6 linked regions of the Kluyveromyces lactis genome follow. The protein of the gene in region 1 purifies or fractionates together with the protein of each later gene. This does not show direct contact. Links are inferred from orthologs where the notes say so. Each region holds a gene or a part of one and is shown on either strand. Other genes may lie near its edges.

Region 1 (4,302 bases):
CGGGGCAGAACTAGGCGGTACTGGTCGTATCAACACGAATGGTTCTGGTAACGGTACGTTGATGGGCATGCAGATGCCTATGATGTTGAACAGCGGGTCTGATTCCAATACCAATCCAAATGCGAACGCTAAACTTACAAATAATTCCAATGGCGGCGGCGGTGTCATGTACAACGGCGGTATACCGGGTCTAAATAACATGCCAAACACGGCTTCTCAAAGAATGATGAACATGAAATCCGACCTTACGGATCTCCCAATGAACCCACCTAATAGTAATAATACCACAACCTCCACCAATACTATCAACGGTACCACGGGTATCAACTCTTCCACGACAAACGCAACAGGTAACCAGTCGTCACAGACATCAGGTTCAAACCCGGCGTCGCTACTACAAAACTCCACGACATTGGCTACTTCGACGTTACCTACAATCACAATGATAAATGACGGCGAACGTCTAAATACCGAAGGAGAATTAATTGGAAAGTCGGGAAAAGCATTGCGCAACACCAAGCGTGCTGCCCAGAACAGGAACGCTCAGAGAGCATTCAGACAGAGAAGAGAGAAATATATCAAGGATCTTGAATTCAAGGCAAGAGACTACAACAGAATAGCAGCAGAACTTGAAACTTACAAGGCAGAAAACAGAATGCTCAAGTTCCAACTAGGTCAGTACCAGCAAAAGATAAACCTTTGATGAATCACTGCACCATCGCTCTTAGTTCTAATGTAAATCTTGTTTGACAATAATTAACTCTTAACGCATACACGCATTCCCAATCACAGTTCTCACATCCGCAGTTTTTTCCCTTACGTATCACTTTTTAGTAAGTAATTGACCTGACTTCCTACAAGACATTCCAATTTCTATATTCAAACCTTTTCTCCGTTCCTGCTTGGTACTTTGCTTGTCCATAGTGAACACAAGATCCATATAACTCCCTGCTTTAGTTCCTAATCACGTGCCAAAATTGAACGTCATGTGACCAAAATTCCATGTTTTTCCAGAATTCGGGAGAAAACAACAGAAAGACCTCGGCGGTTGAGACATTTCGAAGTATATAAGAACAAGGGAGAATTCAGAAAAACAACAACAGTAAAGCTCAGCAAGAGGCATACAGTCAGATCAACCACTGATTCAGTTACGTTTGGTCAGATTGTTTATTAATAGCAGCCTTATTCAAACAACTACACAGTTTGCAGGTGAAATAGTGAATCAAGAAATTACAATCAGAGTGGATTAAATAATGCTAAGGTCTGCTGAAAATTTGAATCGTAAGCTAAGTCGGACGTCGCTATTAAAGAACGTTAAAATATATCAACCTAGTATATCTGATGTTGAACTTGGATGTACGTGCCGGTCTTTTAGCAGTTTGGTTCAAAAACCAAACCAAACTACAGTTGGAATAAGCCGGGGTAATAAAGTTATATCTGGTTTAAATATTGGTGCTAGAAGGCCCAATATAAGTAGTATACCGCCCATTTCTACTGCATTCAATGTCGCTTCTGTTCGTAGCTATGCTAAGAATTATAATTTAAATTTGAATAAAGATCAGGAGGGTGGAGAATCAGCTTTACAACAGTTCGGTACGAATTTAACGGAGTTGGCTAAACAGGGGAAATTAGACCCAGTGATTGGTCGTGATCAGGAAATATCGAGAGCTATCCAAATTCTTTCGCGTAGAACCAAGAACAATCCAGTGTTGATCGGTAGAGCCGGTGTCGGTAAGACTGCGTTGATTGATGGTTTAGCTCAAAGAATTGTTGCCAATGAAGTGCCAGAATCTTTGAAAGACAAAGACTTATACGCTTTGGATTTAAGTTCATTGGTCGCTGGTGCTAAGTACCGTGGTGAATTCGAGGAAAGGTTGAAGAACGTTTTGGATGAAATTGATAAGTCCAATGGTAAGATCATTGTTTTCATCGATGAAGTTCACATGTTACTAGGCTTGGGTAAGACAGATGGCTCTATGGATGCTTCGAATATCTTGAAACCGCGTTTGGCAAGAGGGTTACGTTGTATCAGTGCTACCACATTGGATGAATTCAAAATCATTGAAAAAGACCCTGCCTTGACCAGAAGATTTCAGCCTATCATCTTGAATGAACCTTCTGTTCATGATACAATCTCAATCTTGAGAGGTCTAAAGGAAAAGTATGAAGTGCACCACGGTGTAAGAATCACAGATTCAGCCTTAGTTTCCGCTGCTGTGCTATCCAACAGATACATTAACGACCGTTTCCTCCCAGATAAAGCTATTGATTTGGTCGATGAAGCATGTGCTGTTTTACGTTTGCAACACGAGTCAAAGCCTGACTCCATTCAAGCAATTGATCGGGCTGTTATGACAATGCAAATTGAATTAGAATCCTTGAAGAAAGAAACTGATCCCGTTTCTGTTGAAAGAAGAGAGGAACTTGAAAAGGATTTGGAAGTGAAGAAGAAAGAATTGGAGAGGTTGACTGAAATTTGGGAAACCGAAAAATCTGAATTGGATTCCATCAAGACTGCCAAGGAAGATTTAGATAAGTTGAGAACCGAATTGGATATTTGTCAAAGAGAAGGTGATTATGCCAAGGCTTCTGAACTAAGATATGCCAAGATCCCTGAATTGGAAAGAAAAGTAGCACTGAACAGCAAGAAGGATACTGAAAACAACTTGTTACATGACTCTGTTACCTCTGATGACATTTCTAAAGTCATTGCCAAGATGACAGGTATTCCAATGGAAACCGTTTTGAAAGGTGATAAGGACAGATTACTATATATGCAGAATTCATTAAGAGAAAGAGTTGTTGGTCAAGATGAAGCAATCGATGCTATAAGTGACGCAGTGCGTTTACAAAGAGCTGGATTGACCAGTGAAAAGAGACCTATTGCTAGTTTCATGTTTTTGGGACCTACTGGTACCGGTAAGACAGAATTAACTAAAGCTTTGGCAGAGTTTTTGTTTGATGATGAATCTAACGTTATCAGATTTGATATGTCTGAATTCCAGGAGAAACATACAGTATCAAGATTAATCGGTGCACCTCCCGGTTATGTGTTAAGTGAAAGCGGTGGTCAGTTAACTGAAGCCGTGAGACGTAAGCCATATGCTGTTGTATTATTTGATGAATTCGAAAAGGCTCATCCAGATGTTTGTAAAGTCTTATTGCAAGTATTGGATGAAGGTAAACTAACAGATTCTCAAGGTCACCAAGTTGATTTCCGTAACACCATTGTTGTTATGACATCGAACATCGGCCAAGACATTTTGCTGCATGATACCGAATTAGGTGATGATGGTAAGGTTAGCAAGAAGACTAAGAGAAGCGTAATTGAAGCTGTTAAAAAGAACTATCCTCCAGAATTTGTCAATCGTATTGATGATTTGATTGTCTTTAACAGACTATCAAAAGAAGTTCTCCGTTCAATCGTCGATATTAGACTCAAGGAAATTCAAGAAAGATTGAACGACAAGCGTATGACCCTAAATCTAACTGACGAAGCTAAGGATTGGTTAACTGAAAGAGGTTATGACCCATTGTACGGTGCTAGACCTTTGAACAGATTGATCCATAAACAAATCCTAAATCCAATGGCTATTCAATTGCTAAGGGGTCAATTGAGACACGAGGAGACTGTAAATGTGGTTATTGAAGATAGCAAGTTAGTGGTTAAACCAAACCACGATCCCGAATCAAGTGAACTCGGAAATGACAAGCAAGCTGATGTTGAGTAAATCTCGTTGAACACCCGCAATTGCTAACTCTCCAGCGTAATGATCGATATTCTTGACTTTCTGTGCGTTTCCACTGAATTCCTAAATTATGCACCCTTGTTAGACCGCCCCGGTAGTAATTCGATAATAATATTACGGACTGCTTTATGGCCAAATATTAAACTTTTATACATGTAAATACGTACCAAGATGATGCAATCAATATATGAGACATGGACTTTTAGGCAAGGTCAGCTCAATTGACCTCTTTACTTTTGATGGCGGCTAGAAGATATAAAGCCAAATGTGATTAACTATGCCTATGAATATTATATATTAGTTACAAATTGCGATTAAGTCGAGTTATCGGTTAAATTTGCTTTTTCTTTTAGCTTCATTAATTGTAACTCAGTTAATCTGATAACCTCTTTTAAATTTTGCTTCTTATGTTCCACAGCTTTGTTTAAAGGAATAGTACTGTTTATATTGTAATTGACATCTAAATTCGGTCCAGATTTTTTGTTTAGTTCCGAGCCGCTGTGTGAATCAATCCAATTCCATAGATCATATTCAGAATCAGAATAAAGTTTAC
Region 2 (2,869 bases), about 300 kb from region 1:
ATTTGGGGAGAATATACGAAGTTGGTAACGAAGTAGTTCCACAGGATACACTTCTTAGTGTAAATTATTATACAATTGCATCACACGGTGGGGATCCAGAGGCTATGATGGGGTTATGTGCATGGTATCTAATCGGAGCTAAGCCTGCGTTTGTTGCCGATGACAATGAAGCATTTGAATGGGCGCTGAGGGCGGCCAAGTTAGGTTATCCGAAGGCTCAATTCACAGTTGGATATTTCTATGAAAAGGGGAAAGGATGTGAACCAAACACTGAAAATGCTATGAAATGGTATCAGTTAGCTGCTGATAACAAGGATCCGAGAGCCTTGAACAAACTGAAGATTAAAGATCGTTCCTCAAGAAAGTCGAAGAGTTTAAGTACATTTAATTTCAATTTCTTACTGGACAACAATGAAGAAAAGGGTAAAAGAAAATCGTTCCATCTGAATTTGGACCAAGATGATAAGCCGGGAACTTTTGTTGATATGGAGCAAAATCTGACGGATCCATCTAAGAAAAATAAGCGGAACAATTCGATACCCGTTGAACAACTGCAGCATCCACAACAAGAAACCCCAAGCACATTGTCTGCTTCACTACAAAAGCAGTCTGCGATGGAACATCAGAATACCCTGTCAGCTAGTGGTCAGAAGAGCTTACATGACCAGGATGTAGAAAAGACACCTAATTTAAGATCTCTTTCTGACCCCAAATTGGACAAGATCTCCATTCCTCAAACTAAACCAGCTCTTGGAGAAAATGAAAAGAACGGCATCGATTCAATTAAGAAGAACTTAAAGAGCAAGAGTAAACGTAAGAATGGGGAAAAGACCAAGAAAGGTTGCGTGATTATGTGAGCTAAGTAGAAATAGGGAAACTATCTACAAGCAACTGCATGTTTTTCTCAGTTTATTCTTAGAACTTATAGACCTCGGCCATCTCAATGTATAAATCATTGTATTTAAAATCTGGATATCAGTAAAATAGTTCGGAAAATGCATATACATCATTATTAGTATATCTTAATGGCAAAGAAATGACAATGGTTCATTTATTCTTCAAAGCATAATATGTTCTTTTCAATGTTTAAAGTCAACTCAAGGCAAGAAAAGATTAAACTTCTAGTTAAACATTGAAAGACCAAGAGGTAAATCTTACTGTCATCAAGGCCAAATCACGTGATCGTAAATCTTGGCCTTTTTTTCATGTCTTCAATTTTCAGCAAAACATACTGCATTTACCGTGAAATAGATTTGTAAAGAAACAGAAAATCGTCCAGTATATGGGGAGCCACAGTTAATACATTGCAACAACATTTACACCATATATAAGGGGAAGAAGTTCTTACTAACAAAGTTATACCATTGATAGTTCTCCAACTTTTTAATTGAACAACTTTCATCGATTATAGCGACATATTAGACCTGCCAACTCACGTAGTCAGATAAACACACTTCAAGATGATGTTCCAACGTGCTTTGCTTCAAACAAAGAGTTCTGTATTGCGCCAGCAACCTCTCAGAACTTCTGTTAGATTCATCAGAACTTTCAAGCAAGAAGACCAACCAAGATTGAGAATCAACTCTGTTGCTCCAAATTTCACAGCTGATACTACTGCGGGTAAGGTCAATTTCCATGAATACATTGGGAACTCGTGGGCTGTTCTTTTCTCTCACCCAGCTGATTTCACCCCAGTGTGCACAACTGAATTGGGTGCCTTTGCCAAGTTGAAGCCAGAATTCGACCAAAGAAACGTGAAGTTGATTGGTCTATCTGCTGAAGGTATAGAATCCCATCAAAAATGGATCAAGGACATTGAAGAAGTGTCTCAATTAGACAAGTTCACTTTCCCAATCATCGCTGATGTTGACAGAGAAGTATCTTTCCTATACGATATGGTCGACGAAGAAGGTTTCAAGAATTTGAACAATGGAATCGTTGCTACCATCAGATCCGTATACATCATCGATCCATCAAAGAAGATCAGATTGATTATCACTTACCCAGCCTCTGTCGGTAGAAACTCCTCCGAAGTGTTGAGAGTCATTGACGCCTTGCAAAAGGGTGACTCCAAGGGTGTTGTCACTCCAATTGACTGGCAACCAGGTCAAGATGTCATCATCCCACCAACTGTGTCCGATGCTGATGCGTCCAAGAAGTTCGGTGATTTCAAGACTATTAAACCATACTTGAGATTCACCAAGGCATAAGTTATAATTTCAAACCGTTATGTCCCCTATATACACTTCAATTAGACATGAGGATGAGGTAAATAAACTGTCAGAAGAAGAGCTGACCCAGCTAGAATTCGGTTGCAGACCATTGCTTACTCATGATTCCGGAGATGTTATTTTATCATTATATACGAACAATATTCTAACCACATACCTAAATTCCGGCCTGCAAACCTGCTTAACAGAAGCACTATTCCAACTGTGCTGGGAACGGGACTGAAGAGTCGAGAAACCTATTTGTCTCACAAAGACACTCACAAAAATAATTGTCCTACCCGTTTGGCTGCTACCTTTATTTAGCTTTTTACCCTTAAGAACGCCTTTTCTCGGACCTTTGACCTTCGAGAATAATACTCACATTCATTTCAATAAAGCAATTAGTTATTAAATTATAAAGTGATCTACTCCGCACAAAGGTACAATAAGATGTACAATTGAGATACATGGCGGAATGTAACAGAACGTAAAGTAAGGGTGCCGGTCTCTTGACCATGAACGTTACAAACGCAAAAAAATGAGTCGCATCTCTTTTCAGTTTTTAAAATCCGAGGCGAATCTTTCTATATAACACGGGCTAAATTTCAAGGAAAGACAGGAATGTTTTTAGTCTATATATCTAGGCAGAATGGGAACAG
Region 3 (3,576 bases), on another chromosome or scaffold:
AGATGGCACCACCAGCACTGATCCACATTGTTCTTGGTCCAACACCACTGAAAAAGACCTTGACACCTTCTTCTTGCAACATAGTCTTGGCCAAATGAAGAGCTGAGACGGACTTATGGTGCAACATGATTCTCGTCTTCAACACATCTAATGGCGTCGTGGCAGCAGCAGCGATCCCACCGGCTATACACCCACAAACAGACCCCTGCCAAGGCGCGGCGCGCTCTTTACCTTGCACCTCGGCCCACCTCTTCTTCATATACTCATACAATGGGAATTGAATACATGTAAACGGGATTTCCCTCATTATGGTAGTGGACCAGCCACGGTACAGATTCCTGCGCAAACCTTCTCCGTTCTCATTACGTAGTAACGCCTGCAAAGTTTGCAAAGAAGAATTTGTCCTATGAGTCTGTGTCCGTTGCTTGATCACTTCAGCAGGAACACGAACCATACATGCAGAAATCTCACCAAAACTAGAAGAGACCATATGCGAAAGCGTATCTGCCGTTTGATCTTCACCTTTTGGCAAAAGCTGACCGATAACAGGCCGCGACCAGCACTTCATCGAATCATACGCAACGAAAAACAAAGAAGCACTTGGTGCACTCGCAACAACCGCGCTCCCAAGACCACGGTACACACCTTTGTATCCACCATTGGCGAAAAACCCACCTTTAGCTTGTAACCGGGTTTTCAAGGTGTCTATTGGGAAAAATGCCAGATCGGTCGACGTTCCTGCTGCGGCACCACTCACCAAGGACGCAATAAACATCTGAGAATCCATTTCGCACTATTCCCCCAAACTCCGATCTATAAAAGACTCGTCTGAGTCTGTAATTGATGTACAATTCGTCTTTCAAACCAGGTGATGGTGCAACAAATGCAAATCTTTAAATCATACATATGTATATGTTCGGTTCACTGCTCTGGCTTCTTTTTTTTTCAACATAGGATTTGAGGAAAAAAAATCGAGAAATGAAAATAATTGGAATTTGGGAGGGAAACACATCTTGACTAATGCAAGAATCAGAATCAAAATAGAGGAGAAGAAGAGTTTAGAGAGCAACAAAGGGTCTATATTCTCAGTTGCGTATTAGGAAATTGTCTGATAGTACAAGACCTAATTTTAGAAACAAGAATTGATTGATACATTCAGTGTACTTTCAGTGATATCCCAGGTTTTTTTGTTCATTGTTTTTAAGGACAAAAGCTCGGTTTTAAAAGGAGTTATAGTTCTAAGATCGTATACAAGTTTCAAGCAACAGTCTACTATCCTAAGATAGATATTGTAATGACGATGACATTGTTAAGAGGAGTGAGTGTTTTTTCCAGGCGTGTGCCCGTTGCTGGTGGTTTTGGCTATTTGAAGCGTGCTGATATTAGTAACGTTGTTTTACAGGGACGGACGTATGCAAGTGCCAAGGTTGCCTTAGCAGAAGATTTGACTTTGGAAACGCATACAGATAACCAAGCAGCAGCTATTGAGCAAGCCAACGAAAGAGCCGTGTCAAATCCCGATGTTTTGGACAGTGGTATACATTCTTTGCAACATGCATACCGTGAATCCGGGGAATACGGTACAAGACCTATATATCTCGACATGCAAGCTACCACTCCAACAGACCCAAGAGTTCTAGATACCATGTTGAAATTCTACACGGGGCTTTATGGTAATCCTCATTCAAATACTCATAGCTATGGTTGGGAAACTAACAAGGAGATCGAACAAGCAAGAAAATACATCGCCGATGTTATCAAAGCTGATCCAAAGGAGATAATCTTCACTTCCGGTGCTACAGAATCAAATAATATGGCTTTGAAGGGTGTCTCAAGGTTTTACAAGAAGACAAGAAACCATATTATCACTACAAGAACTGAACACAAGTGTGTGTTAGAAGCCGCCAGAGCTATGAAGAACGAAGGATACGAAATCACATTTTTGAATGTTGATGAGCAGGGTTTGATCAATTTAGAAGAGTTGGAAGCTGCGATCAGACCTGAAACTTGTTTAGTTTCTGTTATGGCCGTCAACAACGAAATTGGTGTTATGCAACCATTGAAAGAAATTGGTGAACTTTGTAGAAAACGCAAAGTTTTCTTCCATACCGATGCAGCGCAAGCTTATGGTAAGATACCTATCGATGTGAACGAAATGAAAATAGATCTGATGTCCATTTCCTCACACAAAATTTATGGTCCAAAGGGAATTGGTGCCATTTACGTTAGAAGAAAGCCAAGAGTCAGATTAGATCCGCTTATCTCCGGTGGTGGTCAAGAAAGAGGTTTACGTTCTGGTACATTGGCTCCACCTTTGGTTGCCGGCTTCGGGGAAGCAGCAAGATTGATGATGAAAGAATACGAGAACGACTCAAATCACATTAAAAGATTATCTGACAAATTAATGAACGCTTTGTTATCTATTGACCATACAATCTTAAACGGTTCTGCTGACCATCGTTACCCAGGTTGTGTTAACATTTCATTCGCATATGTCGAAGGTGAATCCTTATTGATGGCTCTTAGAGATATTGCTTTGAGTTCTGGTTCTGCTTGTACTTCGGCATCTTTAGAACCATCTTATGTGTTGCATGCATTGGGTAAAGATGATGCTTTAGCACACTCTTCCATCAGATTCGGTATTGGTAGATTCACCACTGATGAAGAAATTGATTACGTTATCAAGGCTATCACGGAAAGAGTTGATTTCCTAAGAGAGTTGTCCCCATTATGGGAGATGGTCAAGGAAGGTATTGACTTGAACTCCATCGAATGGTCAGGTCATTAAGCTGGAACAAAAGTGATCTATATCATAGATTCATCATTTTATTTTCTTGCTAGAGTGCATACCAAATCTTTATCTGGTTTCTCAATTTACATGATCTCCCGTTATAACTCGGGGAACTACTACCGTATATACTTTGTTCCTCGATTTCAAAGTACAATCATAATCTCATCTGACTTATCGTTTTTTCTTTTATCTTTCTCTTCATCTCAATATTATGATTAGATTGTTTTGTAAGCTTTTCTACCTGAAATATGCACCAATATTCAGAATATCTCGTTTGCCAGTTTTTATACAAGTCTTTCTATAGTTAAGTATAAAAATGTTATGTTATTAACGTTCAAATGCTCAATCACATCTGGACAAGCAAATTTCCTTGTCTTCAGTTCATTTTGGGTATGCTCCTTTAGATTTAACACATTGCAGGCTAACCGGAACCTGTATTATTTAGTTTATGCTACGTTAAATAAAGACCTTTCGTTCACATAACTGAATGTGTAATGGCCTTGAGATTTCAAGCATACCAAGTTGGTGGAGACGGGGTCGTTACAAAAGACTCTTTAAGCCAAGATTTCCTTGACAGCCTTGGCGATAGCATCGCCAACCTCAGTGGTAGAGTTAGAACCACCAAGGTCACCGGTTCTGACACCTGCATCCAAGACATTTCTAACAGCTTCTTCAAGAGCCCTACCTTCTTCAACCAAATCCAAGGATAACTTCAACATCATAGCTGCAGATAAGATGGTAGCAATTGGGTTAACCTTGTTTGCTGGTAAATCTGGGGCAGAACC
Region 4 (2,398 bases), on another chromosome or scaffold:
GAGGGATTACCGTTTGAACATATCACATCCGTGCATAACAGACTGTTAAAATTGTATCCCGGTTCAAAACTAGTGAACAGTTTTACTGAAGCGGATAAGTTATTGGTATCGCCACCGAATGGTAAATTCATCCACGTTATCAGTGTGGAACCAAGGTTGCAAATATCAGACGAGTATGCCACCAGTGACAAGAAGAATGACAATAACAAGGTCAGATTGTACGTAGAAAACAGGGATTTGAAAACGTTTAGCAGTTCTAGAAGAGTTGCTGGGACACACGGAATCACTGATCTATGGGTAATAGAGTATATTTTTGAAACGAAATCCACTTTCCCAACATTAATGAATAGATCCGAAGTTGTGAAAGTCACTGAGAAACGTCTATCACCAATCAACAACGCCATCAAGTCGTTACAACAAAAGATCCAAGAACTGAGCGGACTTGAAGACATGTGCTATAAACTAATGAAAGAAAACGGCGATTGTTCTGAAGTATTTTCAGAACTGTCAAGAAATATCACAGGTACCATTGATGCACCTATTAACGGTGGTATTGCAGAGTATCGTGTATTCTATACGGATGAAGAAACCAAATCGAAACTAGATCCTGCTGATGTGGAATTATTAGTTGCTGCGTTCAACGAATTGACCATTGTCCTAAACCGTTGTCTCGCACTACACGGACAGCTGTGTCCAATCAGCTTAAGCAAGTCACATACGCTTTTGAAGGACTTATTCGCCAAGAATTTCGAAAAAGAGATCAAAGTTAGCGGAATCGATATCAACGAGACCAACGACGAAATAATCGCAAGAATAAAATCAATCCAGTCATCTCAGCAAAGTTTTTCCAAGAGAAGTAGTATGCTAATGTCAAGATCCATATTCTCAGAGAGCCACTCTATCAGATCTGCTGGAAGTAACGGAAGTGCAACAAAAAACAGTATGCATGATCTCACCGTTACCTCTTCCCATAGAACTACAAAAAGCAACGCGCCATCTCACGCAGCGTCACATGCTACGAGAATATCTCGTCCTACCACACATATCAGCATGCTAAGAAGCACAAGATAGCATAGAATAACTTTCTCCCACTGCAACTGTTCTAATTCTCACCTCATGTAGTCTATATAACAATCCAAATACATTTAGGAAAACATCAAAACGTACGGAGTGATTTATGTGCCTAAGCAATTTTTCCCGGTAAAAAATCGATCAAAAGCCAATTCTTTGCAGAGAGAGAGTTTGGATTAAACCTTTCTACCACAACTATTTTCAACGATCATTTGTTGTACATTCTTTTTATTTTACATTCGATTATTTCAGATCGTTGTTACTGTACAGTATAGTGTCTAGTGATATTACAGAGAGATAAAGAAGGAAAGCAAAGATGTTTAGAAGTGTATTCCGTGCTGCCCCAAGTTTGACCAGAGTTTCTGGATTGAGAAGCGGATTTGTAAAGCCAACTTTTTCAAGTGCTTCCAGGTTCTATGCTTCTTCTTCTCTATCCAAAGAAGAAATCACAACCCGTATTGCTGATGTGATTAAATCTTTTGATAAGACAGCTTCTGCTACTTCGATTACTGCTAACACTCAATTTTCCAAGGATTTAGGATTAGACTCATTGGATACCGTTGAATTGTTGGTTTCCATTGAGGAAGAATTCGATATCGAATTCCCAGATAAGGTTGCAGATGAGCTCAAGTCTGTCGGTGAAACTGTGGAATACATCGCTTCCAGCCCGGAAGCTAACTAAGCAATTGGGATCCGAAACGTTGCCCTTCGGTTTTACCAGAATTTAATGTGGAAGAATGTACATATATTGACACACATATATAACTTATAATGAAAGATAAGATAGTTTTGATGAACTGTTTCATGGCCAAAGTGCTATATGTAAACGTCTATTTGTATATCCTTATTACTCCATATGTTTGAACTTGATTTCCATCGGGTCATATGATTTGTAATTCAAACATTTTTCCTTGCGCCCAATGATCACTGAGTTCAATTTTTAAGGTTATGTAACATGCAAACCACATCTTTAGACAGACGGTTGTTGAGGTAAAGACAATGGTTATAAACGCCATTTAGTATTAGATCCGAACCCATATACTTCCAATATATAAAAAATGAGCCGTGAAGAGAGAGTTTTGAGTGATACTGATAATGAAAATACGAATGAGGAAATAGAGACTGGTATTGATTCCCCGGACGAATCATCTTCAGGGTTGTTCACAGCGGGACGCTCGTTACAATCGAACGTCATAGAAGACCACAACCCTGACTATATATCTGCAGATGCAGAATTGGCCGCAGAGATACCAGATGACACCGAAGTAATTGACTTAGTGCATTTGAAAGTACTGGCGTTGGAAGACTTGAATTTGTTGAGATTTAA
Region 5 (3,927 bases), on another chromosome or scaffold:
GACTTTATACATCCCTAATACAAATTTACCAAGTCGAAACCATTTCACAAGAGGTTTTCTCCAGTTTGAAATAGAGTCATCCTGTTTAACCGCATCAGTTATTTTTGTAGTAGGAATATGTGTTACTGGTAATGTCGCACTCACATTTAGATTAGTTTCGGGGCATTTGTCAGAGTATACTTTTATAGCTATCTTTCCATTTTGATTCAGTTGGTATAGACGATTCAAAAGAGCGTTTGAAGCTAAAGATTCTTTAAACGCAGAGTTCGAAGATATATCGATTGGTGTTCTCTGTGTACTGTATCCGCGCTTGACGATATATCCAACCCTGTTGGCCACAGTCATTGGCTTGAGTCGTTTTGTTTACTTGGGCACTTCAATATCATATTAAAACCCAGCCAGATATTATGATAGTAATTGTTGGAGTTATTTTAGCATAAATGGAAATTTAGAATTTCATAGCTTAAACTGGATAATACAGGAAATTAGGCCAACATTCTTTGATTTCATATAATGATGGTCACAAGAACGCTCCTCTGCTGTAAACCAGGAAGGCAAAAAAATTTATAGCTATAGAGTTGTTCAGAATATTTATTTACAAGAAGAAAAGTCTGTTCGCAGATTTAGGCATCTTCCGTGCGAGAAATAACGTAATCTCCTTTCTCATTTTTTACCAAAATGCCACCTTGAACTAGGTTATCAAACATATCTTGTGGCATCCATCCTTGGGTAGCGGCAAATGGTTGGGAAATCAGTTTCTCATGATAAGCGTTCAATGCATCAGCATGCTTTTTGACTTCTTCTTCGGAATATTTTAGTGGGTATTCAGCGGCATTTACTAATTTGTTATTAGCGAAGATCGGCCAGACTTCAGCCAATTGAAGAAGAGCTTCTTCAATCAAAAGGTATTCTTCGTCGGACTTTCTTTCGATGGCAGCCACATAAGGGTTTCTCAAAACTTTGATTGGTGGAGCGACAGAAGAGATCAATTCAGGTAAGTTTTCATTTAAAGCAAACTCCCATAAAAACTGGTTACGAGTACGCTTGTACATGAACTCAAGTTTGGCTTTTTCCGATTCTTCCATGTCCTTGTACCCTTCAATATCCTTTTCTAGGTCATAGATTTTTGGTCCATCGTAGGCAACAAATTGAGGAGTGTTTTGTAAAATGTAAGGCTTAATGGATGATCCTTCAAAGTCCAATAAGTAAGGAACATCATCATCTTCTTTTAAAATAACATTCATTGGGTCTAAATCTGGATGATGTAAACGAGGCTTTAAAAGATTCTCCATTTTCGGAATAGAAGTGGTTTTAGTATTAATTAGATCTGGGGCAACTTTGGCAAGATTATCAAAAGTCTTTATTTGATCTTTCAATATATCTTCGGCGACAACTTCTGGCGATGCGTGAGCTTGGACAAGACCTAGTCTAGCACGAGCGTTTTCCGCTTCCAGTAATCCTGTACATTTGACGATATCTAAAGGAGATGATATATCCCATGGTCCTAAATATTGTTTGCGGTCATCGAAGTTCAAAGTAGACTTTTTTCTCCATAAGCATCTTTCAACACTTGGGCCAATTCTCCATCTATCTTTTAATTCTTCATTTGTTTCACCTTCATAAGCCGACTCTTCAGAAGTTTTGTAATCCTTGGCAAAATATAAACTTCCGAAGGCGTTAAACTTAACTTCTGCGAGCTTGGCCTGGAACTTAGAAATAGGATTAATGACAGCATTTAACTTATCCTTATGAGATTTGCCATCCTCGGCGTCATTCTCCAACGGAGTCCAACTTCTCATTAGAAGCGTACCTTCTATATATTCCTCCAAAATGAAAGGCTGTCTGACAGGGTTCAAAGCATTAACACCGAAACTGTAAACTTTTGGAACTTTAAGACCCAGTTTGAGATCGGCAAAATCCATAGTGGCCACTTCACTCTTCAATCTGTAAGCAAGGGTATTTTCATCGTCCAATGCGTATGGAATTCTTAAAACAAAGGACTTTTCGGCGTTGGTATCAATTTTGTATATTCTGTGATGCTTACCTTCATGGATGCTAGCCATTGACACAATTCTGATCTTTTCATTGGGATTAACTGTCCCGATATTCTCAATTTTAACATTGTGTGGGAGAGAAACAGTTAAGTTTGGTAAATAAGCTGGTGGTGGAATGCTGCTTTTCGATAATCTTTTAGCGTTTTCTATGGATTGCTTATACAAATCATCAATCACGCTGTTCAAACCCTCGAGAGAGAACTTAGTAATTCTCTTCTCCTTTTCTTGTTTATCATTCTTCAACCATGTACCCCATGAGTATTTGAAGAAAGCATCCCTCTGCGGATCATTTTCATCAGATAACTTTGTGAATACCTCTTCTGGCTTATCTGATACTGAGCGAACGAATAGCTTGCCAATTTTGGTGCTAGAAACTCGCAACGAACTCTTAGGCACACTTCTAACGCATCTGGAACCGATTCTTAACATTTTCACTGTCAATTGTGGACCTTAGCGTCTTAGGAGTATAGCTGTCAACGGTTTAAGTGTCATCCAATAACATATCTCTGTGAATGTTCGCAGTTTAACGTCTTAAATTGTGACTGGCACTGTAATTAATTTCTGTTCGCTATTATCATCGGAGTCAGGGTAAATAAGGTTAAATTGACTGACGTTACAAAGTAGAAATGTATAGATCCCCTCCTGGACAAACACCTTGAAGGAAGAAGGAGTATGTAATGAGCTGATTAGTTTATCATTGACATTTGTAATCACTCTTCAATTAAATCGGACTGCTAGTGTTGGCTGTCGTTTATTTTAGTTATATTGCTCCTAAAGTATATGATTTATTCCTAGTTAAACACTTTATGATAGAAACTTAGTTTAGATATTGAAAACTTAAACTCAGTTCTCAAAGATAATAGCATAATGAGGACTGACACATCTTTGCCGAGGTACCGTAGGTGCTAAAACTAGGAGTAAACCAACATTACTAAAGTAAATAAACGTGATAATATGAAATACATAGAGGCGTCAAAATGTTCCGTGTAAAATAATCCAACACTCCAGATAACCAATGAAAGAAACAACAAATAAATGAAATGAAGATACATAAAAAAACTCTGAAATGAAGTGAATGGAGATAAATGAAACGCTTGTGGCGTTAGAGGTTTTAATTTTTACAATTGTGTTCGATTTTTTTTTTAGAGTGTGCTTTTTTTTGAATTTGTTTTTTGTTAAGTTAGTCCTGCTCTTTGAAGAAGATGTCTCCTCGTGTGTTTACTAAAATCCTTGTGTGTAGTATTCTAATCGTTGTCACTATCAGCAGCAACCAGAACTGAGGGTATGTTTTTCATGTCATGCAAATACGACATATCATCGCCCATTGTGCTCAAATTAGTTTCCAATTCGCTATTTACCCTAGGAATAACGTTGGGATTATTGAAATCATTCAACAGGTTTTCTTGCAGCTCTCTTGGCTGTTGTTGCAGTTTCGAAGGCGTGAGCGACTCACGAGACATGCCGTTCAAAGAAACACTGTCTAACCTAGAATCCTCAACACCTGTTCTTGACAAAGCGTCTGTACTTAATAATTTAATCTTTTCTCGAAGAGTCATGGGTGGACCAATAGGAGAATCAAGTTCGTCTGCAACGTTCGACCCATTATTTTTTTTTGGTTTCCAGTAGGATTGCGACATGGAATTCAACAGATTAAGCGAGTACTGTGGGATTCCATACCTCTGTACCCTTCTCCCCTCAACACCATCTTTTGTTGCCGTCATAGATAGCCCTGACGTTACACTAGACCTCGAAAGAGGTCTCGAAATCGTGGGTACCAAATGTTCATCTCTCTCCTCATCTTGATATCCATTATCATCCGTATCTGCCATGTCTGCCTCATATATCGCCTTCATAGATGAATTATCCATACTTT
Region 6 (4,284 bases), on another chromosome or scaffold:
ACCCAGGCGTTCAGCCAATTCGAAGATCTATGCGTTGCAACTTTCCTAGGTATAAGACCCTACATGAACGTGATCATCGATGGAATAGTACCCATGCTAGAGAGCAGCTTACCCTGCTTTAAAGCACAAAAGACAATCAAGAACTTGAGAAACAGGTTTGTTCCGGGTAAGTCTCCTCAGGAAGCCGCCCAACATATGAGACAGTTGATCCGCCGGTCCTACGAATCGATGTTTACAAAGGGTTACGATGAGTTCCAAAGGTTGACGAACGGAATTCCATATTGAAGAGTGGAAAAAAAACAACAACAACAACAACAACAACAACCATGCCCGATCCTCGGGCATGGTCTCCATACCGTACCACTCTGTTACCCTGCAAACCGAACTTCGGTCATCCCAAGTTCGGTAAACTATTTTACCTTTTCCGATCCTCGGCCTTGGTCCATATCTCCACCGCCCTCGCCCCCGAAACAAAAACAAAAGCAAGGATGTATGGAGAAACCGAAGCCGCTCTTCATCCTTTTTTGCCTCGCCCATCATCGGCCCCTTCGACAAACGAGCGTAAAATGCCCACTGGCCAATCACAATCGGTCCTGGCCCCAGCTCACATAATCACCCGTACGTACCATTCTAAGTATCTCACCACCCTTTAACCGCGCTGCGCAGAAACCCCCGCGCCCTTTCATTTCCTATCCTTTATTCCCCTTTAAAACTCCATTTATTCAGTCGTTTCGACTCGTCCGCTACTGGCACTTCTACCGCTCGCTACTACAGCTTAGAACCATCATTTGGCTTTAACAGCTTTTGAAATTTTTTTTTTTTTTCTCCCTCTCTGGTTTATTCTGGTTTCATTATTTTTTACAGGCTTTCCTGTTTCAATCCCTCAGTGAATGATCAAATGGATCAAATGATGACTGTAAAAACAGTGGGCAAAGCATTATACCGTGATGTAATTTTTAGTTTTTTAATTAATACTGGCTAAATGTGTTGAAGATTTTGGCATTATATATATAATATAGCATTATCGGTTTGTTAGATTCTTCTTTTCCTTGGAGTTATTCAATTTGTTTCTGTATTTATTAGGTTCAGCGGTTTTTTTTTAGTATTTTCAGTTTTTAATAGTATTACATCTATCAAGGATTAAACCCCGCTTAAACTGCACTGAGATAATGTTGTCTGCTCGTGTTGCCTTGAAGAAGCAAGGAGTCGTTAGACAAGGAGTCATCAGACACTTGGCTACCGGAGTCTCTAGTACTATGACTAGAGACTCTAAAGTTCATCAAAATTTGTTGGAAGACCATTCCTTCATTAACTATAAACAAAACATTGAGTATGTCAATATCGTCAGAGAAAGACTAGGACGTCCATTGACATACGCAGAAAAGATTTTGTACGGTCATTTGGATGATCCTCATGGTCAAGAAATCGAAAGAGGTGTTTCTTATTTGAAATTGAGACCAGATCGTGTTGCTTGTCAAGATGCTACCGCTCAAATGGCTATCTTGCAATTCATGTCAGCAGGTTTACCTCAAGTTGCTAAGCCATTGACTGTTCACTGTGACCATTTGATTCAAGCTCAAATTGGTGGTGAAAAGGATTTGAAGAGAGCCATTGATATCAACAAGGAAGTTTACGATTTCTTGGCTACTGCTACTGCTAAATATAATATGGGTTTCTGGAAGCCAGGTTCCGGTATTATCCATCAAATCGTTTTGGAAAACTATGCTTTCCCAGGTGCTTTGATTATTGGTACCGATTCGCATACTCCAAATGCTGGTGGTCTAGGTCAATTGGCTATTGGTGTTGGTGGTGCTGATGCTGTCGATGTCATGTCCGATTTGGCATGGGAATTGAAGGCTCCAAAGATTATGGGTGTTAAGTTGACCGGTAGAATGAACGGTTGGACTTCTCCAAAGGATATTATTCTAAAGTTGGCTGGTATCACTACCGTCAAAGGTGGTACTGGTAAGATTGTTGAATATTTCGGTGACGGTGTTGACACTTTCAGTGCTACTGGTATGGGTACCATCTGTAATATGGGTGCTGAAATCGGTGCCACTACATCCGTTTTCCCATTCAACAAGTCTATGATTGACTATTTGGATGCTACTGGTAGAGACAAGATTGCTCAATTCGCTCAATTGTACCACAAGGATTTGTTGTCCGCTGATGAAGGTGCTGAGTACGATGAAATCATCGAAATCGATTTGAACACTTTGGAACCATATGTCAATGGTCCATTCACTCCAGATTTGGCTACTCCAATCTCTAAGATGAAGGATGTCGCTGTCAAGAACAACTGGCCTCTAGAAGTTAAAGTCGGTCTTATCGGTTCTTGTACCAACTCTTCTTACGAAGATATGTCCAGAGCTGCTTCCGTCGTTAAGGATGCTGCTACCCACGGTCTAAAATCTAAGTCTATCTTCACTGTGACTCCAGGTTCTGAACAAATCAGAGCTACCATCGCTAGAGATGGTCAATTGGAAACTTTCAAAGAATTCGGTGGTACCGTTTTGGCTAACGCTTGTGGTCCATGTATCGGTCAATGGGACAGACAAGATATCAAGAAGGGTGACAAGAACACCATTGTTTCCTCTTTCAACAGAAACTTCACTGCTAGAAACGATGGTAACCCAGATACTCACTCCTTCGTTGCCTCTCCAGAAATCACTACCGCTTTCGCCATTGCTGGTGATTTGAGATTTAACCCTCTAACCGACACTTTGAAGGACAAGGACGGTAACGAATTCATGTTGAAACCACCAACTGGTGTTGGTTTGCCAGTTAAGGGTTACGACCCAGGTGAAAACACTTACCAAGCTCCACCAAAGGACCGTTCTTCCGTTACTGTCCAAGTTTCTCCAACGTCTGACCGTCTACAATTGTTGAAACCTTTCAAGGCTTGGGATGGTAAGGATGCTTTCGATATGCCAATCTTGATCAAATCTCTAGGTAAGACCACCACTGACCATATCTCTATGGCTGGTCCATGGTTGAAGTACAGAGGTCATTTGGAAAACATTTCAAACAACTATATGATTGGTGCTATTAACGCTGAAAACAAGAAGGCTAACTGTGTCAAGCACCACTACACTGGTGAATACGCCGGTGTTCCAGACACTGCTAGAGCTTACAGAGATGCAGGTATCAGATGGGTTGTCATTGGTGGTGAAAACTTCGGTGAAGGTTCTTCTCGTGAACACGCTGCCTTGGAACCAAGATTCTTGGGTGGTTTCGCTATTATTACCAAATCCTTCGCAAGAATTCACGAAACTAACTTGAAGAAACAAGGTATGTTGCCTTTGAACTTTGCTGAACCAGCTGCTTACGACAAGATCAACCCAGATGACACCATCGACATCTTGGGTTTGACTACTCTAGCTCCAGGTAAGAACTTGATCATGAGAGTTCATCCAAAGGAAGGTGAAGCTTGGGAAACCCCATTGTCTCACACTTTCAACGCTGAACAAATCGAATGGTTCAAGGCCGGTTCTGCTTTGAACAGATTGGCTAACGCCAAGAAGGCTAAGAACTGAATAGATCAAATTTTTCAAGTATAAATTTGACCTCTTCTCTTCTTTTGGTTCAATCAACATCAAAAACAAAGCACAAATTTCCCTCCCACTTACAACCCCCCCATATTATTTATTTCTAACTCTTCTTTTATCCATCGTTTTTTGCACTTTCACATCTGCTCTTAGAGACCATTCAAATATTCCCTAAGATTTCAAAGATTTGATATCATCAAATACAATTAAGAAAAAGATTGATTGAGAAGATACTAGTAGTAGTATACTAGAAAAACCAAAACCATAAAAACCCTTTAACGAAAAAAAAAATACCAACACACATTCTTCATTTTATTATTATTCACCCTGTCTATCTCAACATTATCATTTTTTTTTCATATCATAAAGTATCATATCATTCGTATTATCTCTCTATCTCTTTCTTTTTCTTTCCCTTAGTATCGGCTTATCCGAGCTATACCATCGAACTTCACCAAAAACACGAAAAAGATGACATTACACACTTTATGCAGGATGTTAACCCACCTCTAATAACTTATTTATTTATTTTTGACGTTATGAAATACACATACATGCTTATCTTAACTACTTCTTTTGACTCATACCAGTTTGTTGCCGCTTATGACGCATTCGGCCGCATCTTCTTAGTAACAGCCAGACAAAGAATTGTGACTCAGCGCATGATATCCAACTGAAAACAGGAAAGCGATGCTAGTAAAAGCACATATACCTTGCAGTATCTGCAGCAGCAAAA

Evidence for each region.
Region 2: the proteins of HSP78 (region 1) and PRX1 purify together in Saccharomyces cerevisiae (affinity purification with mass spectrometry; 3 studies listed by BioGRID, with this or other methods). This does not show direct contact. The link is inferred for Kluyveromyces lactis from reciprocal best matches to the Saccharomyces cerevisiae genes HSP78 and PRX1.
Region 3: the proteins of HSP78 (region 1) and NFS1 purify together in Saccharomyces cerevisiae (affinity purification with mass spectrometry; 3 studies listed by BioGRID). This does not show direct contact. The link is inferred for Kluyveromyces lactis from reciprocal best matches to the Saccharomyces cerevisiae genes HSP78 and NFS1.
Region 4: the proteins of HSP78 (region 1) and ACP1 purify together in Saccharomyces cerevisiae (affinity purification with mass spectrometry; 3 studies listed by BioGRID, with this or other methods). This does not show direct contact. The link is inferred for Kluyveromyces lactis from reciprocal best matches to the Saccharomyces cerevisiae genes HSP78 and ACP1.
Region 5: the proteins of HSP78 (region 1) and AIM9 purify together in Saccharomyces cerevisiae (affinity purification with mass spectrometry, with the first as the bait; 3 studies listed by BioGRID). This does not show direct contact. The link is inferred for Kluyveromyces lactis from reciprocal best matches to the Saccharomyces cerevisiae genes HSP78 and AIM9.
Region 6: the proteins of HSP78 (region 1) and ACO1 purify together in Saccharomyces cerevisiae (affinity purification with mass spectrometry; 3 studies listed by BioGRID, with this or other methods). This does not show direct contact. The link is inferred for Kluyveromyces lactis from reciprocal best matches to the Saccharomyces cerevisiae genes HSP78 and ACO1.

The regions. Positions count from the first base shown.
Region 1 is NC_006041.1:1,499,447-1,503,748, forward strand, and holds HSP78 (chaperone ATPase HSP78), read left to right. Parts: upstream 1-1,253; coding exon 1,254-3,731; downstream 3,732-4,302. Other genes in the region: KLLA0_E16875g (bZIP transcription factor), read left to right, coding at 1-703; YSP2 (Ysp2p), read right to left, coding at 4,064-4,302. UniProt on the Saccharomyces cerevisiae protein: Required, in concert with mitochondrial Hsp70 (SSC1), for the dissociation, resolubilization and refolding of aggregates of damaged proteins in the mitochondrial matrix after heat stress.
Region 2 is NC_006041.1:1,802,331-1,805,199, forward strand, and holds PRX1 (thioredoxin peroxidase PRX1), read left to right. Parts: upstream 1-1,460; coding exon 1,461-2,210; downstream 2,211-2,869. Other genes in the region: SHC1 (Shc1p), read left to right, coding at 1-857. UniProt on the Saccharomyces cerevisiae protein: Thiol-specific peroxidase that catalyzes the reduction of hydrogen peroxide and organic hydroperoxides to water and alcohols, respectively.
Region 3 is NC_006040.1:421,761-425,336, reverse strand, and holds NFS1 (cysteine desulfurase), read left to right. Parts: upstream 1-1,294; coding exon 1,295-2,788; downstream 2,789-3,576. Other genes in the region: PET8 (Pet8p), read right to left, coding at 1-787; LEU2 (3-isopropylmalate dehydrogenase), read right to left, coding at 3,346-3,576. UniProt on the Saccharomyces cerevisiae protein: Catalyzes the removal of elemental sulfur from cysteine to produce alanine. It supplies the inorganic sulfur for iron-sulfur (Fe-S) clusters. Plays a role in both tRNA-processing and mitochondrial metabolism.
Region 4 is NC_006040.1:238,870-241,267, reverse strand, and holds ACP1 (acyl carrier protein), read left to right. Parts: upstream 1-1,387; coding exon 1,388-1,753; downstream 1,754-2,398. Other genes in the region: guanine nucleotide exchange factor DCK1, read left to right, coding at 1-1,071; type 1 protein phosphatase-activating protein SDS22, read left to right, coding at 2,130-2,398. UniProt on the Saccharomyces cerevisiae protein: Carrier of the growing fatty acid chain in fatty acid biosynthesis. May be involved in the synthesis of very-long-chain fatty acids.
Region 5 is NC_006039.1:661,843-665,769, forward strand, and holds AIM9 (Aim9p), read right to left. Parts: upstream 2,484-3,927; coding exon 624-2,483; downstream 1-623. Other genes in the region: PNT1 (Pnt1p), read right to left, coding at 1-345; KLLA0_C07601g (uncharacterized protein), read right to left, coding at 3,299-3,927.
Region 6 is NC_006039.1:1,517,859-1,522,142, forward strand, and holds ACO1 (aconitate hydratase ACO1), read left to right. Parts: upstream 1-1,169; coding exon 1,170-3,536; downstream 3,537-4,284. Other genes in the region: 1-phosphatidylinositol 4-kinase STT4, read left to right, coding at 1-285. UniProt on the Saccharomyces cerevisiae protein: Catalyzes the isomerization of citrate to isocitrate via cis-aconitate, a step in the citric acid cycle.